Linked DNA regions of Saccharomyces cerevisiae S288C. The gene in region 2 interacts genetically with the main gene of each other region. Each region holds a gene or a part of one and is shown on either strand. Other genes may lie near its edges. The genes, in order: LAT1, ACH1, OAR1 and CEM1.

Region 1 (3,506 bases), on a different chromosome or scaffold from region 2:
CAAATGGGATCCAGCCATAATGTGCTACATTATGAGTCAAAGTTAAAATTTTGGAAATACGTTCTTTAGATTCATCGCTTAAGATAAAAGATGGTAGGAAACTCATGGTTTATTTGTTAAAAGCTAATTTTGGCAAATATTGAGAGATAAGAGGGAACTAGTTTCTTTCACCGAACAATAATATACGAAAGTAGTATGCTAAACTTTATGCGTTATATCCTATATCCCACTCCTTTGTTAATTTCAACCAATTCCACATGAGGTGAAAAAACAAAGATGTTGACGCACCGTTTGACGTGATTTATTTATATCATTTTGAGACAGAAGAGAGAGAGGATTTAGATTCGAAGACAAGCGAAGTATTTCAGTATAATGTATACGTATTTGAGTATTTGAGTATTTTTTTTTTTTTTTTTTTAATTTTTTATATATACAAAATAACAAATTGATATTTTCTCCAAGATACGCATTTACTGGCGAATTTTATTTTCATTCTAACCTCACAATAGCATTTCCAAAGGATTTTCAATAACAGTTTTCAATTCCTTCATGAATTCTGCACCTTTGGCGCCATCAATGGTTCTATGATCAAAGGTCCCTGTTATGGTAACCTGGTTATCAAAGGAGAATCCGTTCTCAGCAGCGGCGTCTTCCACAGCGACCCTTTCAACAGTAGCGATGGCCAAGATTGTAGACTGTGGTGGGTTGATAATCGAAGTAAACATGTTAACAGCATTATTCATGCCCATATTGGATATGCAAATGGTCCCACCTTGGAATTCCTCTGGTGCCAATTTGTTTATTCTGGCACGCTTGACTAGTTCCTTGATTTCGTTAGAGATTTGCGACAAGCCCTTGGCCTCACAATTCTTGACAATTGGTGTCAATAATCCTGTTGGTGTGGCAACAGCGACTGAGACATCGACATTCTTGAATTTACGGATAACGTTCTCATTAGGTAACCAGTAGGCATTGGCATCTGGCACCCTCTTAGCCGCAACAGTGATGGCTTTTACTAATAGGTCATTAATGGACAGTTTGTACTTGTCGTTTGCTGTAGCGTTCAAGGACTGTCTCAATTTCAAAAGTTTGGAGATGGATATCTTGGAGGAAACGATGTATGATGGAATGCCTTGAGTAGATTGCAATAAACGTTCTCCAATGATGCTTCTCATGGTTGAAATTGGAACATCCTCATATGATGCTGTAGAAGAAGGCGATGGAGCAGAGCCAGCAGTAGTGCTTGAGGTAGCGGCGGCAGGAGTGGCGGCGGCAGCACCACTGGTTTGAGAAGACTGCTTAGACGACTTTTCTAGATATGACTCAATGTCAGCCTTGGTAATTCTACCGCGGGGTCCAGTGCCGTGAACATCCTTCAAAGAAATACCCTTTTCCAAGGCGATAGTCTTGGCAAGTGGAGAGGCAAAAATCCTACCTTGAGGAGCAGCAACGTCAGATTTCTTAGCTTCAGGTGCAGAAGTCTTGGTCTCTTCAGCTGGCGCTTCTTGTTTCTTTTCTGCCTGTGGTTCGGCAGGCTGAGCCTTCGTACTGGTCTTTGAATCAGAACCTGAATCCTCCAGCTTAAAGTCCTTAAAAGCTGGCACATCAGCTTTGTCCTCCACATAGACGGCAATAGGCTTGTTGACAGGAATGTCCTTTGTACCTTCAGGAACTAGAATCTTGGCTAAGTAACCATCTTCTTGGAACTCAAAGTCCATTTGAGCCTTGTCTGTTTCTATTTCGGCAATAACTTCACCGGGAGACAATTGGTCACCTTCCTTCTTAGTCCAAGCAGCAAGATTACCTTGCGTCATCGTAGGAGACAGTGCCGGCATACCAATAATGGTGTGCTCTGGGTACGATGCGTAGCATCTCAATTGCAGTCTCAATGATCTGGTGAGTACTGAACTTCTGGATATTCTTGGAACCACCCTGACAAAGGCAGACATAGTACGCTAATAACTATTAATTTTACTGGATGCAGTTTACAGCAATGGAAGATGTTGAGCGTGAACAAACAGGAAACGTAACAGCCTCTCTTCTAGTCGTTCCGGTTGGTTGTCTCGACCTCTTGTTGTTCTTTGCGTAACACGGGGGGTGAGAAGGGCCGGTCACGCTTCACGGATAGTAGAAACGGCAAAGCATAGTAGCAGATGACTTGTATGAGTTATTGAAGTTATGACATATGTAGTATTACATGAAGATATATAGTATGTGCAAACTGGAGGTGATCACCGGTACCAATTATCTAGGGTTCTCAGCCTCTTCCTTCTAACAGGCTTAGCGACCATCTGGAGCTGCAATTGCTTGGTTTTTTGTGCGGCGTTCTTCCTGCTGTCCATATATTGTTCTTCCCACTTGATAGGGATACTATTCTTACTGGCGTCATCTAACAGAGTCTGGCATGTCTGCCATGAGAATCTTACCATGTTGGCGGGCCAGCCCATAAGACTTGTCTGGTTGCGCTTCAGCCATGCGACTGTCTTCGGGTCGGAGGGGTATCCAGAACCCAGGATCTCATCGGGATCCCTCTTCAAGGATTCGACTAGTATATCTCTGGTCACTTTTGCAACGACACTCGCCACACTGACCATGCAGTAGAGCGAGTCTGCCTTCTTGGCGACCGTAAACTTGACACCAGGAAATCGTTGCTCCAGTTTCTTCTGATAGGACGCTGGTGGTCCAACAGTATCCACATACACGTGACTGAGCTTCACGTTCTGCTTTATCACGCCATCAATGAGTGCCATTGTGACATCGTGCGCCTGCTCATTCAAGTTATAGTTTCTCGTCGGTGGGAACTTGCTCATTCCTCTAGAGATATCCAACGGAGTGATGCACGTAGTTGCGTAGCCGATCTGGGTTAGTTCTTCGTTGTCCTGGTATATCTTGGAAAACAGCATTCTTCTGATGGGATCTGTAAGTTTTTTAGAGTCGTCAAACTCGTAGTTAGGGATTATAGTTTCGTCCTGATATTTCTGTGTAGAATAGGCTACTGCGTAGACCATTGGCCCTAATACGGGCCCTCTGCCAGCTTCATCGATACCCATTATTATTGGAGAGTCATTCTGTTCCAAGAGCGCGCTTGGGACAGGTGAAAAGTACGACTTAGTGTAAGGAGACTCCAAGGATGCTTCTACCGTGGGGGGTACCATTTAATCGTATCAATTTGGTGTGCAGTAGTTGTTTTCAAGGTTTTTCGACACTCTCATTAGCTATAACTGAATATTTATATTGGATTTTTCGCGTAGCGTAGTTTATTGGTGTAGAGAAAAAAAAAAAATTAAATGCCATTCTAATTATTTACAGTATATGTCTGATTTATTTACAAAAGCATTGGCAGGCGTCGCAAAATTTACTGCCTGTTTACATCATCCACACAGCCAAAGGGCAGAACCTCTTCTATCCTCTTCTTGTCGCAAAATAGCATGCACAATCTATCTATGCCAAGGCCAAAGCCACCTACTGGAGGCATACCGTATTTCATCGTCTCAACATACTGGTAG
Region 2 (8,540 bases):
TTAATCTCGGCTTACCTTTTTTTTTATGCACTAATTTAATGATTAGGCAAGCTTATTGTTAAACAAGAAAAAACTTCAAAGTACATTGAAAAAAAAAGGAAATGTAATCAATTCCCCTCAAAATAAATTTTCTTACAAACCCATGATAGTTTGGAATAAGAAACATCATCTATTGACTAATATCCATCTTACTAGTCAACAGATGTGTTGGAATGAAAGTCTATAATATCATCTGTTTAGTTGTATTCGTGTTACTAGTTTATTATCACGTGCGGTGTAAGAAGATGATATTAGGATTTCATTCCAATGGTTTGCAATTACCCTTTTAAGTAGCCATTGATATTTTGTGGCATTTGTTATCTTTCAACACATGTTATTATAAACTACTTACCAAAAAAAGTGTTGTATTACGGGCTCGAGTAATATCGGAGTGTCTTGACAATCCTAATATGAACAGTCTTAGGGAAGTAACCAGTTGTCAAAACGGTTTATCAGATTAATTCACGGAATGTTACTTATCTTATATATTATATAAAATATGAATCATACTAAGTGGTGGAAGCGCGGAATCTCGGATCTAAACTAATTGTTCAGGCATTTATACTTTTGGGTAGTTCAGCTAGGGAAGGCCGGGTTTTATCTCATGTTGTTCGTTTTGTTATAAGGTTGTTTCATATGTGTTTTATGAACGTTCAGGATGACGTATTGTCATACTGACGTATCTCATTTTGAGATACAACACTTCCAAGAAATAAGCGCAAGTGGTTTAGTGGTAAAATCCAACGTTGCCATCGTTGGGCCCCCGGTTCGATTCCGGGCTTGCGCAATTCTTTTTGATTTTTATTTTTATATAAAAAATAAACGACGTTATTTGAATTGCAAAAAAATGGTCTCTAGCGGGATCGAACCGCTGATCCCCGCGTTATTAGCACGGTGCCTTAACCAACTGGGCCAAGAGACCTTGATTACTGGTTAACGTGCTTGAAGAAGAAAAACATCAGGGACAGATGAAAACCTTCATTTACTTAGCATGCATTTTTTTAATCTCCTTTTTCGTTGTAGATATTGTTGAATAAGGATCAATTATATGATATTGATTAGTAGCAACAGTTTTACCATTTTTTAGACAGAATCTGTTGAAGGAATAATCAACGATCATCTATCGATTAGTATCATACACAGTGTAAGAATGACATGGAGTTGAGAAACAGTCATCAAAAGTAATGAAAGCTGAGATGTGATAATTGCTGATTCAATAGGATAATAAACGACTACATGTAAAGCCAAAGAAAAAATAGTATTATCATATAAAATTGCCGGTTCTCTTGTGGAAGTCTTACATCCTTGAGAAGAACTTAGGGTATAATTTACACACCTATATTATTGTCTTTTACGTAAACAGGATCTAAAAAATAATCTTAAAATATGTCTATTTCCCAAATATTAATGAAGTATACAGTAAAATATACGTACATTCACAGAAAAAAAAATGCCTCCATACTATGGAAAAACAGCGTATTGCTCAGTGATTGTAATAACAAAATTTTTGACCTTGAACCAACTTGTCAATAACGATTATTAGAGTTATCAGAACGAGCAAATACGAGCGATGTAAGGATAAATGGTAAAAATGGATACATGGCGTAGCTAGGGATGGCGATGATGAAAAATAAAACAACTAAAAGATGTAAAGCAAATATGAAGTTTATGCTGCCCATGACTGTATTGTGAATTTGTTTGCTGTTGAGATTGTTGTCGTTATTTTCATGCCATTCATTTTATTATGGTCCTAATATTATACACGCTGCTATATATAAGTTACGTATCATAGCGGCACAATCTGTTGAACATTTCTGGCGGCCTGTTGAACCTTCAAATGGGCGAGCTGTTGAACAGTTTTGGCCAACCTGCACCCAGGGCTATTACATACACAACAATTTGCAGTGTCGACTTATCTATCTGCCCTCTTGCTGTCCACATGTGTTGAGTGTCATGTGTAGATTTTTACTTTTTCTACTTCTGTTATCTTTCCAAACTTTGTCTATTAAACCACTCAATTGAACTAATTTCTTTGATGAGCCGTTTTTTTTTTCTTAGTCCTCTGGATCAAACCAAATTGCTTACCAATCCTTCCACCACTGATAGATAACACACATCCGGTTGTTGTTGATAAGTGTATTATGCTAATCGGCGTCCCTTAAATTCAATGGTGAGAAGAAAAAAGCGATGATCCTTGCCTTCAAGCGCGCGCAAACAATAACCACTTATTAGCTTGAAGCTAAATTGCGGAGAAGGCTGTTCACAAACATGGATTCCAATATTAATTCCATAATAGGAGAAAAAAAATCATTGTAAGGTATACATGCATCATTACAGATAAGTTGGGCGGTTCAGAGCTTGGTTTTGTATTACCCTGGCATTTTTACATTGACCTAAGCAAGAGAACTACCCTGACGTCATCAGCGAAATTCGTTGAAATTAATATAAGGGTTGATGACTTTCAACCTCTTAGTTTTTTTTACTAATCACTACTTAATACATAATTATTGTGTAAACATATAAATATACAGTACTACCTGTGAATTAACTAGACGTCATGCGTATTGATTAACTCCCTCCATGAGCGCAAAAAGTATAAATATGCAAGAAAAAACAACGCATTGGATAAAAGCTTTATAAACATAAAATCATAATCATATCATTTCCTTTCTTTTTTTTGTTAAATACTCATCTCTCGGTTTGCGCACAAACACTAGTCAACTGGTTCCCAGCTGTCGACCTTCATTGTACCCTTTTCAGCTAAGTTGGTGTGGAACTTGAAAGCATTCTTTAGCATGTGTGGTTCATGCAAGCAATTGTGCTTTTTAGCGTAATGCTCTGCTCTGTCCAAGTAATCGGTCAACAAAGCTTGATAATCGGGATGAGCACACTTGTTGATGATTTCACGGGCTCTTTCCTTAGGCGATAGACCTCTTAGATCCGCCAAACCTTGGTCAGTGACCAAGATGTCCAGGTCATGCTCAGTTTGATCTACATGAGAGGCCATAGGAACAATGGTAGAGATACCGGTAGGGTCTACTTTAGTTGGTCTTGCAGAGGGGGCATGCATGATGGACAACTTTGCATTTCTCAAGAAATCAGCAGATCCACCCAACCCGTTCAACATACGGGAACCATTCACATTTGTAGAATTGGCGTGCGCGTAAATGTCAACTTCTACTGGGGTATTCATGGCGATGACACCCAATCTACGGATCATTTCCGGATTGTTCGAGACAACTTGAGATCTCAAACACAATCTGTGTTTGAAATTTTCCCAGTTTGCAAAGGCTCTGTCGAAACCCTTTTCAGTCAATCTCACGGAAGTAGCAGTGGCGTAGTCCAAAGATCCGTTCTCGAAAAGATCCAAGAACGAGTCCTGCAGCACTTCCGTCCATACAGTCAAGTGCTTGAATTGGGCGCCAGCAAGCCCTTCAATGACAGCGTTAGCAATGTTACCTATACCACTTTGTAAAGGCAGCAGGTTTTCAGGTAGCCTACCATGTTTTACCTCGTTTCTGAAAAACTCGACCAAATGACCTGCAATAGCCCTGGACATGTCGTCAGAGGGCGTATTTGGTGGGACCTGGTCCCTCATGGTGGACTCCACAATCGCAACAACCTTTTCAGGATCAACCGGGATGGAGTCAACACCACACTTGTCGTCCACTTTCAGATATGGGTATGGTTTCCTGAAAGGTGGGTTCACGGGCATGTCTATATCGTGAATACCCTCGAACGAAGGCGTAGCCGTGTTAACCTCAATAATCACTTTATCACTGACTGTAATGAATTCTGGAGAACCACCGACAGAGGGACCTGGGACGATAGACCCGTCCTCTTTAATGGCCGTTGCCTCGATTATAGTATAATCAAGGATTTTGTTGTCTTTTCTTTCCCTGGTGTAGAACCCGTATGTCAGATCCTGAGGGAACATGGACAGATGTTTATCAAAGAACTCAATTCTACCCTGGTTAATTGCCTTTGCAATGGGTTTCCCTACTTGATGAGGGGCTCTCTTAATGATCATGTCGTGTTCAGCCCAACGGTTTTCCTCTGGACCAGCAGAAGCTCCAACAAAAAGGTTGAATCTCAACTTCCCTTGTAAATTGTTCTTCTCCACGTGATCTATCAGTGCCTCCGGCACTGCCTTGGGAGTACCCACTCCTGTAAAACCGGACCACCCAAGGTACTGACCATTCTTGAACAATGGAATAAGCTCGTGAGCTTCCTTAACTTTTTTCAGATAGGGAGCATACCTAACTCTCTGCTTTAACAAATTAGAAATTGTCATTTTAGTGCAATATGTGAAAAAGAAAAAAAGAAATGTGTTGTTTGTTTTGCCGCTATTGTCTAGTAAGACGGTCTCTTGCTGCTTTGTGTGCTAATGTAAGCCCGGTGGGCACAAGACAAAAGAAGGGGTAGAACACATCTAACGTCTATATATACACAGCAACTTGATTACACATTTGCTCCAGCAAGCGCTTACCGTCCACAATACAGTGGTCATCCATACAATCACTACTTTGGTAGTTTGACGCTCCGATGGGATTGGCTGTTGCGGATGTGGTTGAGGGCGTTGTCCTCGAGGCCAATCAGCAGCGCGCATTGCCCGCCTTTGGCCCGGCGGGCCGCGCGTCGCAGGGGATGATGCTAGTCACCTATATGGATCACCCCTTGTGGTTCTTCATTTTTTTTTTCTTCAATTAACAGCCGCCGACGGCCCGTGGCGCGCGATCACGGAGTTGCGTAACTGCTCCCCTTAGCTCCATATAAGTATTGTCCTTTTATACGTCCGCGTCCTCAGCGGCTAATACGTATGTCATATGTACATATGTATATGTGTACGTATATGTATATGTATACATTGTTCTTCGGGTTGATATTTTAATGATAATGATGGCTAACTAAATATTTCGTTCCAAATGAGTTTCTTGAGGTCTTTCGTCGTTAGTGCCTCCTTGTAGTGATCAAACTCGAAGAAGCTGGGTGGGATGGGTTCGCCTTCAGGTTCGTCGTTTGGATCGTGGTATGTTTGCAAATACGGATGCTCCAGTGCCTCCTTAGCAGTAATCCTCTTCGCAGGGTCAAAAACAAGCATACGCTGTAAAAGATCTATGCCTTTCGGGTTGACTCGAGGGAACATCTTCTCCAGTGGCGCGGCAGGGTACATGGGAAGCGACTTTATGTACTCTCTAGCCCTGGGTGACTCTATACACCGCAAATCATTATCTGAGTGAGGTGTACCGATGATACCGAATATCAGTAGTAGTTGATGGCGATAATCTCTGCCAGGGAAGATTGGCCGTCTTAAGAAAAGTTCAGCGAGAATACATCCGCAGGACCACACGTCCATGGCCCTTGAGTATTTGGCAGAGGTTAACATCACCTCTGGCGCCCTGTACCAACGTGTGGCCACATACTCGGTCATGCCGCTTTGCTGACCTGTGGGCTCTGAATTGTCCGCGGCTGACTCGTCAATGATTCTTGCTAAACCGAAATCACATACTTTCAAGTCACAGTTGGAGTTTATGAGAAGGTTGGAGGGCTTTAAATCACGATGGATGACGTTCGAACCATGCAGCACTTTCACTGCTCTCAAGGTTTGGTATATAAAATATTGTATATGATCGTCACTCAGCATCTGGGTGGAGATTACACGGTGTAAATCTGTCTGCATTAGCTCTTGAATTATGTAGACCTCATTGAAGTTTTCGAACGAGTCAGGGCGTTGAATGTTGAAGATTGTTATGATATTTTCGTGCTTGAAGTGCTTCAGGATCTTTATTTCACGCAGCGTACGTAATGCGAACAAAGGCTTATCGAATGGTTCGATCTTTTTTATTGCCACGATTTCTCCCGTGGGCTTATGCGTTGCAGAACATACCACACCGTATGCACCCTCTCCCAGTAACGACTTCAACTGGAAGTCACTGGATATATTGTATACAATTCTCTTTGGCATATTATTTTCCTTTCTTTTTCTCTGCCTTATTTCCTTGTAGTTCAAACGAACTAGCTATTAGAAGAAAGAAAATGATTACAACGTATATATAGTTTCTGAGAGGCAAGAGTAAAAAGTTATGATATATTAGTATGTTGCTTTTCTGCAATTGTTTCAATGCCCTGTAAAAAACCGCATCATCTAAAATCTGAGAGAATGCAGAAACAAAAAAAAAAAAAGTAAAAATTTCGAGTAAAAGAATTTTGAGTTCCAGGGTGAAACAGATCTAAAACTCAAGAGCTTATGCATTGCTTGTAGGTACATCACATTTTACTTCAGAAAGATAAAAGAGTATGTGAAAGTAAACTGCCCTCTCCAGTTAACTCTTCCCAAACTAAAAAGTATCCGCCTGTGCGGACTACAAGCACTACCGCCCCTTGAATGAACACCAAAAGATGTGTGTAAGTTAAAAAGTCCGAACGAATTTATCCTTATGTATGTTCTTTTGAACGTCAAGTAGTCAATCTCTCCAACTACTCGGGTCTTTATATGGATCGCGTGATGTTTTAAGCCTTCTTTCCTCTAGTTTAGTGCAGTCGCTGCTTTTTTCTCGGGCTGAGTACGGCGAAAAGAAGGAAAAACCAAGGTCAAAAAATAACCTCTAAATAACAGCATGATGCAACAGCTCAAAAGACCTCTCAAGAAGCACAAAAAAAGGAGGCGAGTAGGTGGTACTATTTCATTCTACTAAGATCTTTAAAGCAATTCCTTTCCGGTTTTTTTCTCAACTACCGTACTCTTTTTCCTTTTTTATTTTGCCCTTAGATTGTATTATAAAGCTCTGTATATCTGGAAAAGCCCTGAAGTGTCCAGTAGTCATCACACGTTATGATATTACTTCATTTTGTCTATTCTCTTTGGGCCTTACTTCTCATTCCTTTAACTAATGCCGAAGAATTCACCCCCAAAGTGACAAAGACTATCGCGCAAGATTCATTTGATATATTAAGCTTTGATGATTCCAACACTTTAATTAGAAAACAAGACACCTCCGTTACTATAAGCTTTGACGATGGTGAAACATGGGAAAAAGTTGAAGGCATTGAAGGCGAAATCACTTGGATATACATCGACCCCTTCAATAGACATGACAGAGCCGTTGCAACGGCAATGAATGGGTCGTACCTTTATATAACCAATGATCAAGGTAAGTCATGGGAGCGTATAACGCTACCTGACTCCGGAGAAAGTATTTCACCTCGTGAATGCTATATAGAAACCCATCCCTTGAATAAGAACTATTTTCTTGCAAAGTGCAACTATTGTGAGAAAACAGAAGTAAACAATGACAATGAAGAGAATTCGGGGGACGAAGAGGGACAATTTGAAATATTTAATATTACACGTTGCACAGACAAGGTTTTTGCAAGTAATGATGGTGGAAAATCCTTTTCTGAGATCAAGTCTTCTCTAGAAAGGAACGAAAATAGTCCTATCAGCATTTCTGATTGTGGCTTTGCCAAGACCAGCAAAGATTCTGACCTTGAAAGTAGTGATACCTCAATAATCTGTCTTTTTCAAAATATGCAGCTTATTATGGATGAGTTTAGTTCTCCTTACACCGAAAGTAAATTGGTCCTAACTACGGACTGGGGCAAATCACTAAAAGAATTTGACCAATTTAAAGATAAGGTCGTCAATGGTTACAGGATATTGAAATCTCACATGGTTGTCTTAACCCAGGGCGACAGATATAATGATATGTCTTCCATGGATGTGTGGGTATCAAATGATCTGTCAAACTTTAAAATGGCTTACATGCCTACTCAGTTAAGGCATTCTATGCAAGGAGAAATATATGAGGACGCTATGGGAAGAATTATCTTGCCCATGAGTAGGGAAAGAAGTGATCAAGAGGAGGATAAGGGCATCGTGTCTGAAATTTTAATTTCCGACTCACAAGGGTTAAAATTTTCCCCCATCCCATGGACCGCAAATGAGGTGTTTGGTTATATTAATTTTTATCAACCTACTTACTTGAAAGGAACGATGATTGCCTCACTTTACCCTCTATCTAGGCGTCGTAACCGTAAAGGAAAAGCCAAAGGAGTAAAGAGTAAGGGGGTAACCAAAATATCTGTTGATAATGGCCTCACATGGACAATGTTAAAAGTTGTTGATCCAGATAACGCAGACTCATTCGACTGTGATATTACTGATTTTGAGAATTGTTCGCTTCAAAATATGTTTTACACACGGGAGGGTTCCACTCCAACCGCCGGAATTCTAATGACAACAGGTATTGTTGGCGATGGTAGTGTCTTCGACTGGGGAGATCAAAGAACCTTTATTTCTAGGGATGGTGGCTTAACATGGAAACTCGCCTTTGATTTTCCTTGTTTATACGCTGTTGGTGATTACGGAAATGTTATTGTGGCTATACCGTATAATGCGGATGAAGACGACGATCCTCAATCCGAATTTTATTACTCTTTAGACCAAGGTAAAACTTGGACCGAATATCAGCTAGAAACTACTATCTACCCAAATGAAGTAA
Region 3 (8,116 bases), on a different chromosome or scaffold from region 2:
GGAGCTGATGATGAGCAAGATGAAAGTACAATACAGAGACAAAGCCGCAAAAGAAAGATTTCGCTACTTTTGCAGCAGCAGTACGGGTCTAGTTCCAGCATGGTACCGTCTCCGATTGTGCCCAATAAAATGCGGAAGCAACTGGCTCATGAAGAACATATTAATAACGACGGCGATAACGACGATGAGAACAGCAATAATATAGAGAGCTCGCCTCTGAAGCAGGGGCACCACCACCCGAAGGGACAAGCGGATGATAACAACGAAGGGCCCGATGAAGAAGAGAGTACGAAAGAAGTACCAAAGCCTGGGACCATCATTCATTTTTCTACGAATAGATAGAATAAATAAGTACATACAATTTTTACTAGTGATGAATATCAGAACGCAGGGTAATGGGCCCGCTATATTTTTTCTTCGATATAGGGAGAGCCACATTCAGAATATTCAGAGTATTTGCATGTAGAAATTTATTCTAAGTGCGCCAGATATATGCCGGGAGAGGTCATTAGAAAACATCTGTTTGTGTTTTAACTTGAATTACAATAACAATAATACCAGTTTTATATGGGGAATATAATGTCAGCTAGTTTTGCGCCTGAATGCACTGACCTGAAGACGAAATACGATAGTTGTTTTAATGAATGGTATAGCGAAAAATTCCTGAAGGGAAAATCCGTTGAGAACGAGTGCTCAAAACAATGGTACGCTTATACTACATGTGTCAACGCAGCTCTCGTCAAACAAGGTATTAAGCCTGCTCTAGACGAAGCTAGGGAGGAGGCGCCGTTTGAAAATGGCGGCAAACTAAAAGAAGTTGACAAATGAAGTATATATTTTAGCACAGAATGTGCATTATTCAACATGTAAATACTAATACTGCAATATCGACTTATAATAATGTATAGTGATCCGTATATTAATAGATCTGTTTCAATTCTTTACCTTTTTAGGATATCCGTCACCCGTGATTCCGTCGGAGGTGAGCACTCGCCCAAATAAATAACGGGAAATGGTGGCAAAAAGTAGTGGCGGGAAAAGGAAAAATTTTCGTTCTCTCCCATATAAACGTTTCATTCCTTTTCCTAAGTCTTTTACAGTAATTTCAGAAACATTCGTATTTTATATTTGATCTTTTGAAGCTACAAGAAAAACTCTTACCAATTACCCCAAAAAAATCACCATCATAAAGTACTTACATATTTATTTTTGTTTGGTCGTTTTCTCAATATAATCTACATCATCATATATATATAATGTCTACACAATTTAGGAAGTCTAATCATAATAGTCATAGTAGTAAAAAACTAAATCCTGCGCTAAAGTCCAAAATAGATACGCTTACAGAATTGTTCCCTGACTGGACGAGTGATGATTTAATTGATATAGTTCAAGAATATGATGATTTGGAAACTATAATTGATAAAATTACTTCCGGCGCAGTGACAAGATGGGATGAAGTAAAGAAACCTGCTAAGAAGGAAAAATATGAAAAAAAGGAGCAACAACACTCATATGTCCCTCAACAACATTTGCCAAATCCAGAAGATGATATTACATATAAGAGTTCTAATAATAGCAATTCTTTTACTTCTACAAAGCATAACAGTAGTAACAATTATACTCAAGCCAGAAATAAGAAGAAGGTACAAACACCACGAGCTCATACAACCGGGAAACATGTTAATCTCGACAAGGGGAAGCACGTACCATCCAAGCCTGTTTCAAACACTACATCGTGGGCAGCAGCTGTTTCTGTAGATACTAAACATGACGTTCCTCAAGATTCAAATGATAACAATAATGAAGAATTAGAAGCACAAGGGCAACAAGCGCAGGAGAAAAATCAAGAAAAAGAGCAAGAAGAGCAACAACAGCAGGAAGGGCATAATAACAAAGAAGAACACAAACAAATAGAGCAACCTTCTTTATCTTCAAAGAAAACAACTTCTAGGACATCTGCTTCACAACCAAAGAAAATGTCGTGGGCTGCAATTGCTACACCAAAGCCAAAGGCTGTTAAAAAGACCGAGTCTCCTCTTGAAAACGTTGCTGAATTGAAGAAAGAAATAAGCGATATTAAGAAGGATGACCAAAAGTCTGAAGCTAGTGAAGAAAAAGTTAATGAACAAGAAACATCTGCACAAGAACAAGAGGAGGAGACTGCTGAACCTTCTGAAGAAAATGAAGACAGAGTCCCTGAAGTGGACGGAGAAGAAGTCCAAGAAGAAGCTGAAAAAAAGGAACAAGTAAAAGAAGAGGAACAGACAGCGGAAGAGCTGGAACAAGAACAAGATAATGTTGCTGCTCCAGAAGAAGAAGTTACAGTTGTTGAAGAAAAGGTTGAAATTAGTGCTGTTATTTCAGAGCCTCCAGAAGATCAAGCTAATACTGTACCTCAACCACAACAACAATCCCAACAACCACAGCAACCACAGCAACCACAGCAACCACAGCAACCACAGCAACCACAGCAACAACAACAACCACAGCAACCACAACAACCACAACAACAACTACAACAGCAACAGCAACAGCAACAACAACCAGTACAAGCTCAAGCTCAAGCCCAAGAAGAACAATTATCTCAAAACTACTATACTCAACAACAGCAGCAACAATACGCTCAACAACAGCATCAGTTACAGCAACAGTATTTGTCCCAACAACAACAATATGCTCAGCAACAGCAACAGCATCCACAACCTCAATCACAACAACCTCAATCACAGCAAAGTCCACAAAGTCAAAAACAAGGGAACAACGTGGCTGCCCAACAGTACTACATGTATCAAAACCAATTTCCTGGATATTCTTATCCAGGTATGTTTGATTCACAAGGATACGCTTACGGTCAACAATATCAGCAACTTGCTCAAAACAACGCTCAAACTAGTGGTAATGCTAACCAATATAATTTCCAACAAGGTTATGGTCAAGCAGGCGCGAACACTGCTGCTGCTAATTTGACTAGTGCTGCCGCTGCTGCTGCCGCTTCTCCAGCTACAGCTCACGCCCAACCTCAACAACAACAGCCATACGGTGGCTCATTCATGCCATACTACGCCCACTTTTACCAACAGTCATTCCCATATGGTCAACCTCAATACGGTGTAGCTGGTCAATATCCATACCAGTTACCAAAGAACAATTACAACTATTACCAAACTCAAAACGGTCAGGAACAGCAAAGTCCAAATCAAGGTGTTGCCCAGCATTCTGAAGACTCTCAACAGAAGCAATCACAACAGCAACAGCAACAGCAACCTCAAGGTCAACCCCAACCTGAAGTTCAAATGCAAAATGGCCAACCTGTTAACCCACAACAACAAATGCAGTTCCAACAATACTATCAATTCCAACAACAACAGCAACAAGCTGCTGCCGCTGCCGCTGCTGCTGCCCAACAAGGTGTACCATATGGCTACAACGGTTATGATTACAATTCTAAAAATTCAAGAGGTTTCTACTAATAAGGGAGAAGTAGAACCTCCCACATAAAAAACGAAATGGGGAATAAAATACAATGAATTTAAATACACATTTTATTACCACTATTATGTTTTACTTTCTTCAATGTTTGGGCAAGGATTCCATATCCTTTTGATGATGTCATATATCATTTAAATTTTGCATATATATATATACGTACGTAAATAATAAAAGGTATATATATGTTGTGTTATCTATCTAGCTAGCTGTGTCTTTATTTTGCGGGGTTTTGGAAATGCCACTTTTTCTGTTTTATATATCACAGCGTCAAAATTTCCGCCGTTACTGTTTGCAACTGATGAGAACTATGGAATACACATGAGTACATTGGTATAGACGTGGGAGAAGAAAAGTCTGGAAATGCATTATTTGCCTGTTGCGATAGTAACAGGTGCCACTAGGGGTATAGGCAAGGCAATATGTCAAAAGTTATTTCAAAAGGGTTTAAGTTGCATTATACTTGGGTCTACTAAAGAAAGTATAGAGCGCACCGCGATAGATAGAGGCCAATTACAATCGGGATTATCATATCAGCGGCAATGTGCTATAGCAATTGATTTTAAGAAATGGCCTCACTGGCTTGACTATGAGTCATATGACGGTATCGAATATTTCAAAGATAGACCGCCCTTGAAACAGAAATATTCCACATTGTTCGACCCATGTAACAAATGGTCAAATAATGAACGCCGCTACTACGTAAACTTATTGATTAACTGCGCAGGCTTGACTCAAGAATCATTAAGTGTAAGAACCACTGCATCTCAAATTCAGGACATAATGAATGTTAACTTTATGAGCCCTGTGACGATGACAAACATCTGTATTAAGTATATGATGAAGTCGCAAAGGAGATGGCCGGAACTCAGTGGTCAATCTGCTCGACCCACCATCGTAAATATTTCCTCCATTCTACACTCCGGAAAAATGAAGGTTCCAGGTACATCTGTTTACTCCGCCTCTAAAGCCGCACTGTCCAGATTTACAGAAGTTTTAGCTGCAGAAATGGAACCAAGAAACATTAGGTGTTTTACGATATCTCCAGGTTTAGTCAAAGGGACCGATATGATCCAAAATTTGCCAGTGGAGGCTAAAGAAATGCTGGAGAGAACCATTGGGGCAAGCGGTACAAGCGCACCCGCTGAAATAGCGGAAGAAGTCTGGTCTCTATACAGTAGAACTGCTTTGGAGACGTAAAAGAAAATCGAAACAAATAATAGATTTGTGTCTGTTCAATGTGTATATCGATGAGCTCAGTGAACACATTTTCACATCACGTTTCTTTTTTTTCTTTTTTCCGCTAAGAAAAATTTTCCAGAATTTTTCAGAGGCAAAACAAAACTCATCGATTTCGCACGCATTTCTCGTAGAATTGATATTTTTTTATTTTTTTATTGGTTTTTTTTTTTTTTTTCACTTTTTTTTCTTCCTTTCATGATATTTATAAGGAGAAGTATTTCAATTGGGACTTAAAAAAAAATTTTATTTTGGTTAATGTTTTCATTCAATGGTTTACTACTTTCATTTTAGCTTTTTAACAATTTTCTTTCTGGGGTCTCAGTTGCGGTTAGCAGATTAACACAGAACATACTATAGACAAATATGATTATTTACAAGGATATCTTCTCTAACGACGAATTGTTGTCTGATGCTTACGACGCTAAGTTAGTTGATGACGTTATCTACGAAGCCGACTGTGCTATGGTCAATGTCGGAGGTGACAACATCGATATCGGTGCTAACCCATCTGCTGAAGGTGGTGACGATGATGTTGAAGAAGGTGCTGAAATGGTCAACAACGTTGTCCACTCTTTCCGTCTACAACAAACCGCTTTTGACAAGAAGTCCTTCTTGACCTACATTAAGGGTTACATGAAGGCTGTTAAAGCTAAGTTGCAAGAAACTAACCCAGAAGAAGTTCCTAAATTCGAAAAGGGTGCTCAAACTTACGTCAAGAAGGTTATTGGTTCTTTCAAGGACTGGGAGTTCTTCACTGGTGAATCCATGGACCCAGATGCCATGGTTGTCATGTTGAACTACCGTGAAGATGGTACCACTCCATTTGTTGCCATCTGGAAGCACGGTATTGTGGAAGAAAAGATCTAAGTCTAGCGAAATTAGAAAAATTTTCGTATTTTGTATTTGAATTTGAGAGTAGGACTCCCCTTTCTCATTTTTAATGTATATGTAACCTCTCTCTCTTTTTTCTCTGCATCAACTTTTTAGCTTCTATTCTTTGATTCTATAGGTATCTAAACTTCCTAATTACTTCTTAACACGCATTAGGACGTTTTTAATTATTCTATGATTTTATTAAGACACGTTTATCAATTGCCGTAGATATGTATAGTTCATCAATATTTTCTTTTCCATTACCCTACAGAACTTTCATGTTTTTTGTTTTCCTGTCTTTTTCTCCAATTACGTGAAAAAAAAATTGAATTGAAATAGCATGAGAAGCTGAGAAACAAGTAGAAATTGACGAAATCCAACGTTCATAAGCATTTTTCAAGAGGTCGCAATTTCACTCGTACACAACTGACCTATTATGGCATGCCTCTCAAGAATTGATGCAAATTTGCTCCAATATTATGAAAAACCTGAACCCAATAATACGGTTGATTTATACGTCAGTAATAACAGTAATAATAACGGGCTGAAAGAAGGAGATAAGTCCATCTCTACACCAGTTCCTCAGCCTTACGGAAGTGAATATTCCAATTGTTTGTTATTGAGTAACTCTGAGTATATCTGTTACCATTTTTCCTCAAGATCAACATTGTTGACATTTTATCCTTTGAGTGACGCATACCATGGGAAGACAATTAATATACACTTACCAAATGCTTCTATGAATCAGAGATACACTTTAACGATACAAGAAGTGGAACAGCAATTACTGGTTAATGTTATCTTAAAAGATGGTTCGTTTTTAACGTTACAACTACCCCTAAGTTTCCTATTTTCATCGGCCAACACTCTCAATGGAGAGTGGTTTCATCTCCAAAATCCCTACGACTTTACAGTTAGAGTTCCTCATTTCCTTTTCTATGTATCACCCCAGTTCTCAGTTGTTTTTTTGGAAGATGGCGGTTTGTTGGGTTTAAAAAAAGTTGACGGCGTACATTACGAGCCTTTACTATTCAATGATAATTCATACTTGAAAAGCCTAACGCGATTTTTTTCTAGGAGTTCTAAATCGGATTACGATAGTGTGATTAGTTGTAAATTATTCCATGAAAGATACTTAATTGTGTTGACTCAGAATTGCCACTTGAAAATTTGGGATTTAACTTCATTTACTTTAATACAAGATTATGATATGGTTTCACAGTCAGATTCAGACCCAAGCCATTTTAGAAAAGTGGAAGCTGTAGGGGAATACCTTTCCTTGTATAACAATACTCTAGTTACATTGTTGCCTTTGGAAAATGGGCTTTTTCAAATGGGCACCTTGTTGGTTGATTCAAGCGGTATTTTGACTTATACTTTTCAAAATAACATCCCCACTAATCTTTCAGCTTCTGCTATTTGGTCAATTGTAGATTTAGTTCTAACGAGACCATTGGAGTTGAATGTCGAGGCTAGTTATTTAAATTTGATCGTTTTATGGAAAAGTGGCACTGCTAGCAAGTTACAGATACTAAACGTAAATGATGAAAGTTTCAAAAACTATGAATGGATAGAATCAGTTAACAAATCCTTAGTAGATTTGCAATCCGAACATGATTTGGATATCGTTACAAAGACTGGAGATGTTGAGAGGGGTTTCTGTAATTTGAAATCAAGATATGGTACCCAAATTTTTGAACGTGCACAGCAAATATTGAGTGAAAATAAGATTATTATGGCTCATAACGAAGATGAAGAATATTTGGCTAATTTAGAAACAATATTGAGAGACGTAAAAACCGCATTCAACGAGGCTTCTTCTATAACACTTTATGGCGATGAAATTATTCTCGTCAATTGTTTCCAACCGTATAATCATTCCCTTTACAAGCTGAATACTACTGTGGAGAATTGGTTTTATAATATGCACTCTGAAACTGATGGTTCTGAATTGTTCAAGTATTTAAGGACATTGAATGGTTTTGCTTCTACTTTGTCAAATGATGTTCTTAGATCCATTTCTAAGAAGTTTCTTGATATAATAACAGGAGAGCTGCCTGATTCTATGACTACCGTAGAAAAATTTACGGACATTTTCAAAAATTGCCTAGAAAATCAATTTGAAATCACAAATCTAAAGATTCTTTTCGACGAATTAAACTCTTTTGATATACCCGTTGTTTTAAATGATTTAATCAATAACCAAATGAAGCCTGGTATATTTTGGAAAAAGGATTTCATCTCTGCAATCAAATTCGATGGTTTCACAAGTATAATTTCCCTAGAATCTCTTCACCAGTTACTTTCCATACATTATCGTATTACTTTACAAGTATTGTTAACATTCGTTCTGTTCGATCTTGATACCGAAATTTTCGGACAGCATATATCTACATTATTGGATTTGCATTATAAGCAATTTTTATTGTTAAACCTTTATAGACAAGATAAGTGTCTGTTGGCGGAAGTTCTTCTCAAGGATTCTTCTGAATTCTCTTTCGGTGTCAAATTT
Region 4 (8,721 bases), on a different chromosome or scaffold from region 2:
TTTGGCTATTTATATTGCCATTGCATGTTCAGAGCATTTTATTTATAGGCGTTCCTTCAGTGCTTACAATGTTGATGATTGGGATAGTTGGGAACGTCTACCTATCGGCATTGCAGGTACTGCTGCCTTAATTGTTGGTGCCTTTGGCGTAGCGTTGGGTATGTGCCAAACTTATTGGGTTGGCGAGATCAGCCGTTTGATCGGAGACTACGGTGGTGATATTGGATTCGAGTTAGGACTAAGTTGGGCATTTATAGTTTACAACATTGCTAGACCCTTTGAGCTCAAGTACTTTGGTCGTTAACGAAAGTTCATTTAAATGTTTCGCTATTTTAGTCTTTGTAATGTAACATAAATGGCTCTAGTATGCAAATCATTAAAAAATAGCATGTATGTTAATTAAATTATCACGGCTCATTCATTTGAGTTGATAACGCAATTCTGATAAGCATATCACGTGACTGTGGTTCTAAGAGTTACTCCGATCGCCAGTAAATACTTTATGAGACGTTGCATTATTTCTGTTTAGTTGATAAATTTTGATTTCTAGTCTGTTGAAAGCCTAATGCATGCAGATGACATAAATGTAGTCTGTTTTTGCACTGGTGATTTGTAAACCAGACAAATATATAACATGATAACCAAATTGTTTGTTATAAGATACGCTTGTCAGATTGAAATGGAGGGTGTTTCAGAAGGTGACTAAAATATCGAAGAAAAGTATGCCAGAAAAGTTAGCCATGTCAATGGTCGATATAAAAGATGCGGGGAGTGAACTAAGGGACCTCGAATCTGGAGCTCTGGACACAAAATCTTCCGCCGCTGATGTATACTATGAGGGTGTAGAATTGCATAGAACCAACGAATTCATTGATAATAAGCCGTCCTTTTTCAATAGGATTGCAGCTGCTTTAAATGCTGAGACGAAAGGTATTGAACCAGTTACAGAAGATGAAAAAAATGATGACTCGATACTCAATGCCGCCACTATATGGTTTTCAGCTAATATGGTGATTGTAGCCTATTCCGTAGGTGCCTTGGGTCCTCTAGTATTTGGCCTAAATTTCGGCCAAAGTGTTTTAGTTATCATTTTTTTCAATATTTTGGGTTTGATCCCTGTTGCATTATTCTCACTTTTTGGGGTAGAACTGGGCCTAAGACAGATGATTCTATCGAGATATTTGGCTGGTAACATCACAGCAAGATTTTTCTCTCTTGTTAATGTCATTGCTTGTGTCGGTTGGTGTGTTTTAAATATTTCTGTTTCTGCTCAACTTTTGAATATGGTGAATGAAGGCTCTGGGCACAACTGTCCTATTTGGGCAGGTTGTTTGATTATTGCTGGTGGTACCGTGCTTGTGACTTTTTTTGGTTACAGTGTCGTTCATGCATACGAAAAATGGTCGTGGGTACCCAATTTTGCTGCCTTTTTGGTCATTATTGCCCAACTATCGAGATCAGGAAAATTTAAAGGTGGTGAATGGGTAGGGGGTGCAACTACTGCAGGTGGTGTTCTTTCTTTTGGTTCATCTGTTTTTGGGTCAGCTGCGGGTTGGGCGACTTATGCAGCAGATTACACTGTTTATATGCCAAAGACCACAAGTAAATACAAAATTTTTTTTTCCGTAGTAGCCGGTCTAGCGTTCCCTCTATTTTTCACCATGATTCTTGGTGCTGCTTGCGGTATGGCGGCCCTTAATGACCCAACCTGGAAGTCATATTATGATAAAAACGCCATGGGTGGTGTCATATATGCTATCCTGGTCCCTAACTCTCTAAACGGATTCGGTCAATTCTGCTGTGTTTTGTTGGCTCTTTCAACTGTTGCTAATAATGTCCCTGGAATGTACACTGTCGCTTTATCCGCTCAAGCTTTGTGGGCACCTTTGGCTAAAATACCAAGAGTAGTCTGGACAATGGCAGGTAATGCTGCCACTTTAGGTATTTCCATCCCTGCTACCTATTACTTTGACGGCTTTATGGAGAATTTTATGGATTCCATTGGTTATTATTTGGCTATTTATATTGCCATTGCATGTTCAGAGCATTTTATTTATAGGCGTTCCTTCAGTGCTTACAATATTGATGATTGGGATAATTGGGAGCATCTACCTATCGGTATCGCAGGTACTGCTGCCTTAATTGCTGGTGCCTTTGGAGTAGCGTTGGGTATGTGCCAAACTTATTGGGTTGGTGAGATCAGTCGTTTGATCGGAGAGTACGGCGGTGACATTGGGTTCGAGTTAGGCGGAAGTTGGGCGTTCATCATCTATAACATTGTAAGACCTTTAGAACTCAAATATTTCGGTCGATGACTAAATGTTAATTGATTAATATTTTTGCTAATCATTGAAATGATTGGTTTTAATGGATAAATCTCGACATTCGAATAGATAGCATATAATTCAAAAACGATTATAATGGGATATATATATAAGTTTAATAATATTAACTCCCTTCCCATTTCTTGAAGAGAAGAGATGTGTTAACTCCTCCAAATCCGAAGCTGTTGCATAATGCGTACTTCGGATTAGCTCCCACAATAGGTTTGTCTCTTATGAAATGTAGCTTATCGGCCTCGTTATTTTCTAGAGTCAGAACATTGTCCAGGTTTAAGGTATGCGGCATCTTATCATCCTTCAAGGAACAAATTGTAAATATACTTTCTACGGCGCCAGCTGCACCTAAAAGATGGCCAATTGCACCTTTGTTACTGGATATGTACAGTGGCTTGCTTTTGGATCTTCCTGGTAAGAGTGCTGAGGCTACTGCCAGACACTCTGCTTTATCGCCTAGTAAAGTTGATGTAGCATGTGCATTGACGTAGTCAACATCAGTTGGTTCTAATCTAGCCATTTTTAGAGCCATCTCTATTGCTCTTTTGGCACCATTTCCATCAGCAGGAGGGGAGGTAATATGGCAGGCATCACTGCTTAAACCATAGCCCACGAGCTCAGAAATTATGTTTGCATTTCTCTTTTGAGCATGTTCTAGCGATTCCATGACAATCATTCCGCATCCTTCACCAAGTACGAATCCAGAACGTTGTGTATCAAAGGGTCTAGAGATCCCGTTTGTAGTAATCGACTTTGCTCTGATGAAACCTGCTAAACTTAACGGATGCAAACTCGTTTCACTTGCACCGGCGACACAGATGTCTTGCATGCCTAACCGAATAAAATTGAATGCATCGCCAATGGAGTTATTACCTGTTGCGCATGCTGTGGAAACACTATGGGATAATCCTCTAAGGTTAAACTTGATGGAAACATTACCAGCTGCCATATTTGTAAGGATTTTAGGGACGAAATATGGATTTATTCTTTTATTGTCGTTATGGAATTGTAGAGAAGTTTGGTATATGTCTTGAATGGATCCTATACCAGAACCTATCAGGCAACCAAAGTGATCCAGATTGCACAGAGATGTATTGATGGTTATATCATTTGGGTTCAAGAGACCAGCATTGTGAAGCGCTTCATAAGTTGTACGTAGTGCTAGCTTGATAAAGCTTGAGGTTCTTCTCTCATCCTGGCTAGTGAACAGCAGTTTATTGATGGCTGAATTTTCGTTTTGAAAATTCTCTGGAATCTTCCCCACTGTTATCGTTGATGGGATACTTTTTTCTCTGAGTTTGTAGTCCTCATTATAGTTGGGCAAAGATGTGATTGGTGTGAGTCCATTTTTGGAAGAGAGCAGATTCCCCCATGACTCACTTAATGATCTTCCCAACGGCGTTACACAGCCCAATCCTGTGATAACCACTCTTCTTGACATTTCTTTACTAGAAATTAAATTTTAATCCGTTGTGGCTCCTGTCACTTTCAAGTTGCTAATAACCTGATAACGTTTAAGGATTTTACTTCCTTTTTTATCATTTATTTTTCTGAGATGAGACAGAGTCAGAAATAATAGCACACTATATGTTTTAAAAAAAAAAATCTATCTACGTATTTATTTAATCAATAAGATGTGATTTTATAAATGTGTCGTTTTTTAGCATCATTACTTGTTTTGTGGCGAATATAGAATAGGACTGTATCTGAGAATTATTACTCAAATATGTTCGATTTTAGAGGATTACCATTTCAACAGATCGTCCTTAGCATATAAGTAGTCGTCAAAAATGAATTCAACTTCGTCTGTTTCGGCATTGTAGCCGCCAACTCTGATGGATTCGTGGTTTTTGACAATGATGTCACAGCCTTTTTCCTTTAGGAAGTCCAAGTCGAAAGTAGTGGCAATACCAATGATCTTACAACCGGCGGCTTTTCCGGCGGCAATACCTGCTGGAGCGTCTTCAAATACTACTACCTTAGATTTGGAAGGGTCTTGCTCATTGATCGGATATCCTAAGCCATTCCTGCCCTTCAGATATGGTTCTGGATGAGGCTTACCCTGTTTGACATCATTAGCGGTAATGAAGTACTTTGGTCTCCTGATTCCCAGATGCTCGAACCATTTTTGTGCCATATCACGGGTACCGGAAGTTGCCACAGCCCATTTCTCTTTTGGTAGAGCGTTCAAAGCGTTGCACAGCTTAACTGCACCTGGGACTTCAATGGATTTTTCACCGTACTTGACCGGAATTTCAGCTTCTAATTTGTTAACATACTCTTCATTGGCAAAGTCTGGAGCGAACTTAGCAATGGCATCAAACGTTCTCCAACCATGCGAGACTTGGATAACGTGTTCAGCATCGAAATAAGGTTTGTCCTTACCGAAATCCCTCCAGAATGCAGCAATGGCTGGTTGAGAGATGATAATGGTACCGTCGACGTCGAACAAAGCGGCGTTAACTTTCAAAGATAGAGGTTTAGTAGTCAATCCCATTCCGAATATTGTTTTTATTGTTTTATGTTTTTCCACTGATCTGGTAAACACTAGCTGGTTGGCGCTATTAATATGAAAAGAGTTAGACCAAATTGAGTAGAAAAGAAACCTTTGGCAATCCTAACTATGTTGTTTTAGCTTGTGTATTTAAGCGCATATATATATATTTCTGAAAATGACAACATCAAAAGAAACGAACTTATTTAGAATAAAAAGAAACGACTTGGCTTCTTATTATTCCTACTTTACGTCACGTGGGAGGCCCGTTTAGGGGGGCAGCTATGTAGTTTTTCCGAGCGTACTTTCTTTCAGCATCCGAAAAGTCCTCACTTGACGGCTTACACGGAAACGCCGCGGATTGTGGGGCACAGATGATGACGCAGACGGAACACTGCAGAAATCTTTTTACCTTGTCGTTAAAGACGATATTAGAGAGAAGAGTTTGGCTGGGGACAAAGTGCCAGCTTTTCGTTCAGGGCGAGGTGCCAAAATACTTGAGAAGGCCAAACCCCAAAGGACAGGGCCAAATACGTACGCTACGGTAATATCTAATGGGAGAGGGTATAACATTGACCATTTTCGAAGGAGGCATAGGAATTTAGACGCTGATGGATGTTATCAATATTGAAGTTTTTCACCGTTTCCCTCTTTCTCTGCTCCTTTAAAGAACGCAAAGTCTCCTCTTGAGAGAAAGCAGACGATTGGAATTGGTATCTTTCACGTAGCATTGCTTAACCTACGGCCATATTAATGATATGAAGTCATATGAAAATGGCCGAGGCCAGCGGTTCATTCGAGGATATATATTTTATTACCCGGCGTCTCTAGCCGAAGTAAGAAAACACAATGCAACCAGCGTTGGTGGAAGGGCGTGATAATGCTGAATGGGAGAAGAAAGTTGAATAGTGACTCTTCAAATGTGTCCTTTCAGGATGCGCTACTTTCAGAAGTTACAAAGATATCTGTATATTGAATAGAATTTTTTTCACCACTAGAATTGTTCTTGGAGCCAGCACAAGCACTTACAATGGCAGATTATTCTTCCCTTACTGTTGTTCAATTGAAAGATTTACTGACCAAGAGAAATCTGTCTGTAGGCGGATTGAAGAATGAACTAGTTCAAAGACTGATAAAGGACGATGAAGAATCAAAGGGTGAAAGTGAAGTTTCTCCACAGGAACAAAACCAGGAACAAGGGTCAGAACCTGCGGCGATAGAAGAACCAGCCTCCCAGAACATTACTGAAAAAAAGGAAGTTTCAAGCGAGCCTAAAGAAACAAACGAACCCAAGGAGGAAAATAAGGACGTTCAAAAGCCCTCTGATGGACCTTCTGCTACTGCTTCAGAGAACGAACAAGCTGCTGCTTCCACTGCTGCTCCCGCTTTGTCACCAGAAGAAATTAAGGCCAAAGCATTGGATCTTTTAAATAAGAAACTGCACCGCGCTAACAAATTCGGTCAAGATCAAGCGGATATTGACTCTTTACAAAGACAGATAAATCGTGTGGAGAAGTTTGGTGTTGACTTGAATAGCAAGTTGGCTGAAGAACTGGGCCTTGTCAGTAGGAAAAATGAACCTGAAAGTGGCAATAACGGTAAATTTAAAAATAGAAACAAAAATGCAAACAACCGCTCCAGAGTAAGTAAAAACAGGAGAGGCAACCGCTCTGGTTACAGAAGATAAAGGCTCAAGCCGTTTTGGTGGAGTTTTTCATTCTAGTTTCGGTTCTTTCCCACTTTTTAAACGACCGCAGTTGTTTGTATATGAAGGTGCAAAATTTGTTGCATACGTAAACATGTGTAGATTATTCTAAATAAATCTGTGTTATTAAATCCGAAGAGTCGGCGGTTCACTGTATTACACATACAGTGGCTGTCAACGTTGTAAAGTGCTAGTAGAGAATGAGCGGCGAGATTTACAGACTGAACATTCTTGTACAAGTTACAATGATGATAGAGGAAAAATAAGCTATGATAAATAGTTCATAGTAATGCAGGTGGGGATGATGCAAGCGGGCCTATTTATTTTGAAATAGTACTGAATGGTTTGGAAAAGGTGGAATTTTCAATCTGCAACGATATCGCGCTCAACATCTTTAACCTGTCATCATCGTACGTATTTGGGACTTCAATTGAAGGCAATGTAATGATAGTGCTATCTGCCGATGTGCTTGACCTCGTCACTCGAGGCTCTTCTTTACCGGGAGTGCTTGCATCTTTCGTTGAAGAATGTGCACTCAAGACCTCAGATGTGGAGTGTGGCCTCATTGGATTGGACTGTTTATTACTACAAACCAAGGGATATTGATGGAGTGTCATGTGATAGATAATTTCGTTGATTGGTGCCAAAGATGCATCAAACCCATAATCTTTGACAAGAGATCCCAGTATGAGATTCAGCACTCTCACCTGAATTTTTTCTTGTGATAGGTCAGCGAATAGTTGACGTGTAGCGGGCATAAATAGCCTTTGCGATAGAATAGTCAAAAATTCGATTGATGACAGCCGTTCAGTAAGATATTGCTTAGTAGAAGACGGTAAATGTGAAAAGCTGTTTTCTACCACAAGGGAAATGGAAGCCATTAGTGAATTTTTGCCCAGCGTTTCTAGATTAGCAAAAGAATCCAAATTTCTTTCATCCTTAGACATCTCCAAGCACGTCCTTGAGTTATGTATCTTTGACAGGATGAGTTTTCTCAAGTTGTTGGATATTACAACTTTGCTTTGGCACCCTTTTTTTTTCGTTAAATTTGGTCTAATGAACTTATCTCTTTGAATTTGTTCAGGTAGTGGAATAGCATTATTTACAATTTCAACAATTATTGATTTGGCAATAAAGTCGTATTCTTGTTCACTTTCTAGAGGCTGATCTTCTATATCAAACTTTTGTAATTTTTCATCGCCGCCGTGCGCATACGGTGCCGATGGATCACGAAGAAGAGATGCGTTCTTCTTAAGTAAAGAGCGAACTTGAGTTGGTACAGGTGGAAGAGTGCGGCCATTCGGATAAGGTAACAATTTTTGTGATGTTATAGTATTAAGAGAAGGAAGAGCGTGCTCAGCAGGTTCTTCCTTCACGCTGGCTTCTTCGTCAGAGCTTGATGCATTGGAAGCTGAACAAGACCCCATATTACTTGAGCTGGGGGGAGACAAAGGAATTTTTTGAACTTTACCACGGGCTATTTTCTTCTTAGAGTCTAATAATTTTTTCTTGGAACGTTTCCTGTTTCTTCTCACCGATTGAACAGCAGCGGTAACCAACTTTTCAAATTCTGCCGAAAACGTATCAGGGTACTCAAATTCACTCCTTAATATGGTGGCTATTTGTCTTATATTATCATCTTGTTCACTTGCTTTGTGCTGGCTCAAGCCAAATGAGTCAATGAGTTCTAGTCTTCTGCTAGAAAACTTCTTCCATTTCTTTTCATCATTAAAGTTTAACTGAGCTCTGATTTTATGTGTAGTACCATAGCCCGTATACTTTCCTGTTTTATGGCTACCTTCCAAATGAATTTTGGAGTTCTCAGTATCGTCAATCATCTTGCAATTTTTACTCTGACTGTTGCTGTTTTTTTTGCTGAGATATTTTCCGGTTAAGATGTTTGAATATGCTAAAGGTAATATACAGCTAGAGAAATATGAAAAGCAAGAATATAAAAATAGAACAGGAGCACTTAGTTCGGTTTTTTGCCATCATGTTTAATATATATATATATATATATATATATATATATATATGTGCGTGCGTGTGTGTGTGTGTGTGTGTGTACATGTATGCGGCAGCTAAAAGATGACGAGTACCTTCTAACGGCCATGTTATTTTCTACAGAAAGCATCTCACTTTGAGCGCCCAGAAAAAAGAAAAGGGAGAACAAAGTGATTAATTTT

What was found.
Region 1: mutations in ACH1 (region 2) and LAT1 together harm fitness more than expected from each alone (negative genetic interaction), as found in Saccharomyces cerevisiae (4 studies listed by BioGRID).
Region 3: mutations in ACH1 (region 2) and OAR1 together harm fitness more than expected from each alone (negative genetic interaction), as found in Saccharomyces cerevisiae (3 studies listed by BioGRID).
Region 4: mutations in ACH1 (region 2) and CEM1 together harm fitness more than expected from each alone (negative genetic interaction), as found in Saccharomyces cerevisiae (3 studies listed by BioGRID).

Annotation. Positions count from the first base shown.
Region 1 is NC_001146.8:489,966-493,471, reverse strand, and holds LAT1 (dihydrolipoyllysine-residue acetyltransferase), read right to left. Parts: upstream 1,950-3,506; coding exon 501-1,949; downstream 1-500. Other genes in the region: TOM7 (Tom7p), read right to left, coding at 1-106; ribonuclease H2 catalytic subunit RNH201, read right to left, coding at 2,232-3,155; lysine--tRNA ligase MSK1, read right to left, coding at 3,356-3,506. UniProt on the Saccharomyces cerevisiae protein: The pyruvate dehydrogenase complex catalyzes the overall conversion of pyruvate to acetyl-CoA and CO(2).
Region 2 is NC_001134.8:189,915-198,454, reverse strand, and holds ACH1 (acetyl-CoA hydrolase), read right to left. Parts: upstream 4,334-8,540; coding exon 2,753-4,333; downstream 1-2,752. Other genes in the region: mitogen-activated serine/threonine-protein kinase FUS3, read right to left, coding at 4,943-6,004; PEP1 (type I sorting receptor), read left to right, coding at 6,872-8,540. UniProt on the Saccharomyces cerevisiae protein: Presumably involved in regulating the intracellular acetyl-CoA pool for fatty acid and cholesterol synthesis and fatty acid oxidation. It may be involved in overall regulation of acetylation during melatonin synthesis.
Region 3 is NC_001143.9:331,894-340,009, reverse strand, and holds OAR1 (3-oxoacyl-[acyl-carrier-protein] reductase (NADPH)), read left to right. Parts: upstream 1-3,852; coding exon 3,853-4,689; downstream 4,690-8,116. Other genes in the region: ASK1 (Ask1p), read left to right, coding at 1-342; MDM35 (Mdm35p), read left to right, coding at 568-828; DNA damage-responsive RNA polymerase-degradation factor DEF1, read left to right, coding at 1,257-3,473; TMA19 (Tma19p), read left to right, coding at 5,095-5,598; NUP120 (Nup120p), read left to right, coding at 6,041-8,116. UniProt on the Saccharomyces cerevisiae protein: Involved in biosynthesis of fatty acids in mitochondria.
Region 4 is NC_001137.3:275,850-284,570, forward strand, and holds CEM1 (fatty acid synthase CEM1), read right to left. Parts: upstream 3,778-8,721; coding exon 2,449-3,777; downstream 1-2,448. Other genes in the region: FCY21 (purine-cytosine permease), read left to right, coding at 1-304; FCY22 (purine-cytosine permease), read left to right, coding at 723-2,315; glycerol-1-phosphatase GPP2, read right to left, coding at 4,081-4,833; THO1 (Tho1p), read left to right, coding at 5,861-6,517; VHR2 (Vhr2p), read right to left, coding at 6,856-8,373. UniProt on the Saccharomyces cerevisiae protein: Possibly involved in the synthesis of a specialized molecule, probably related to a fatty acid, which is essential for mitochondrial respiration. Is essential for oxygen uptake and the presence of cytochromes A and B.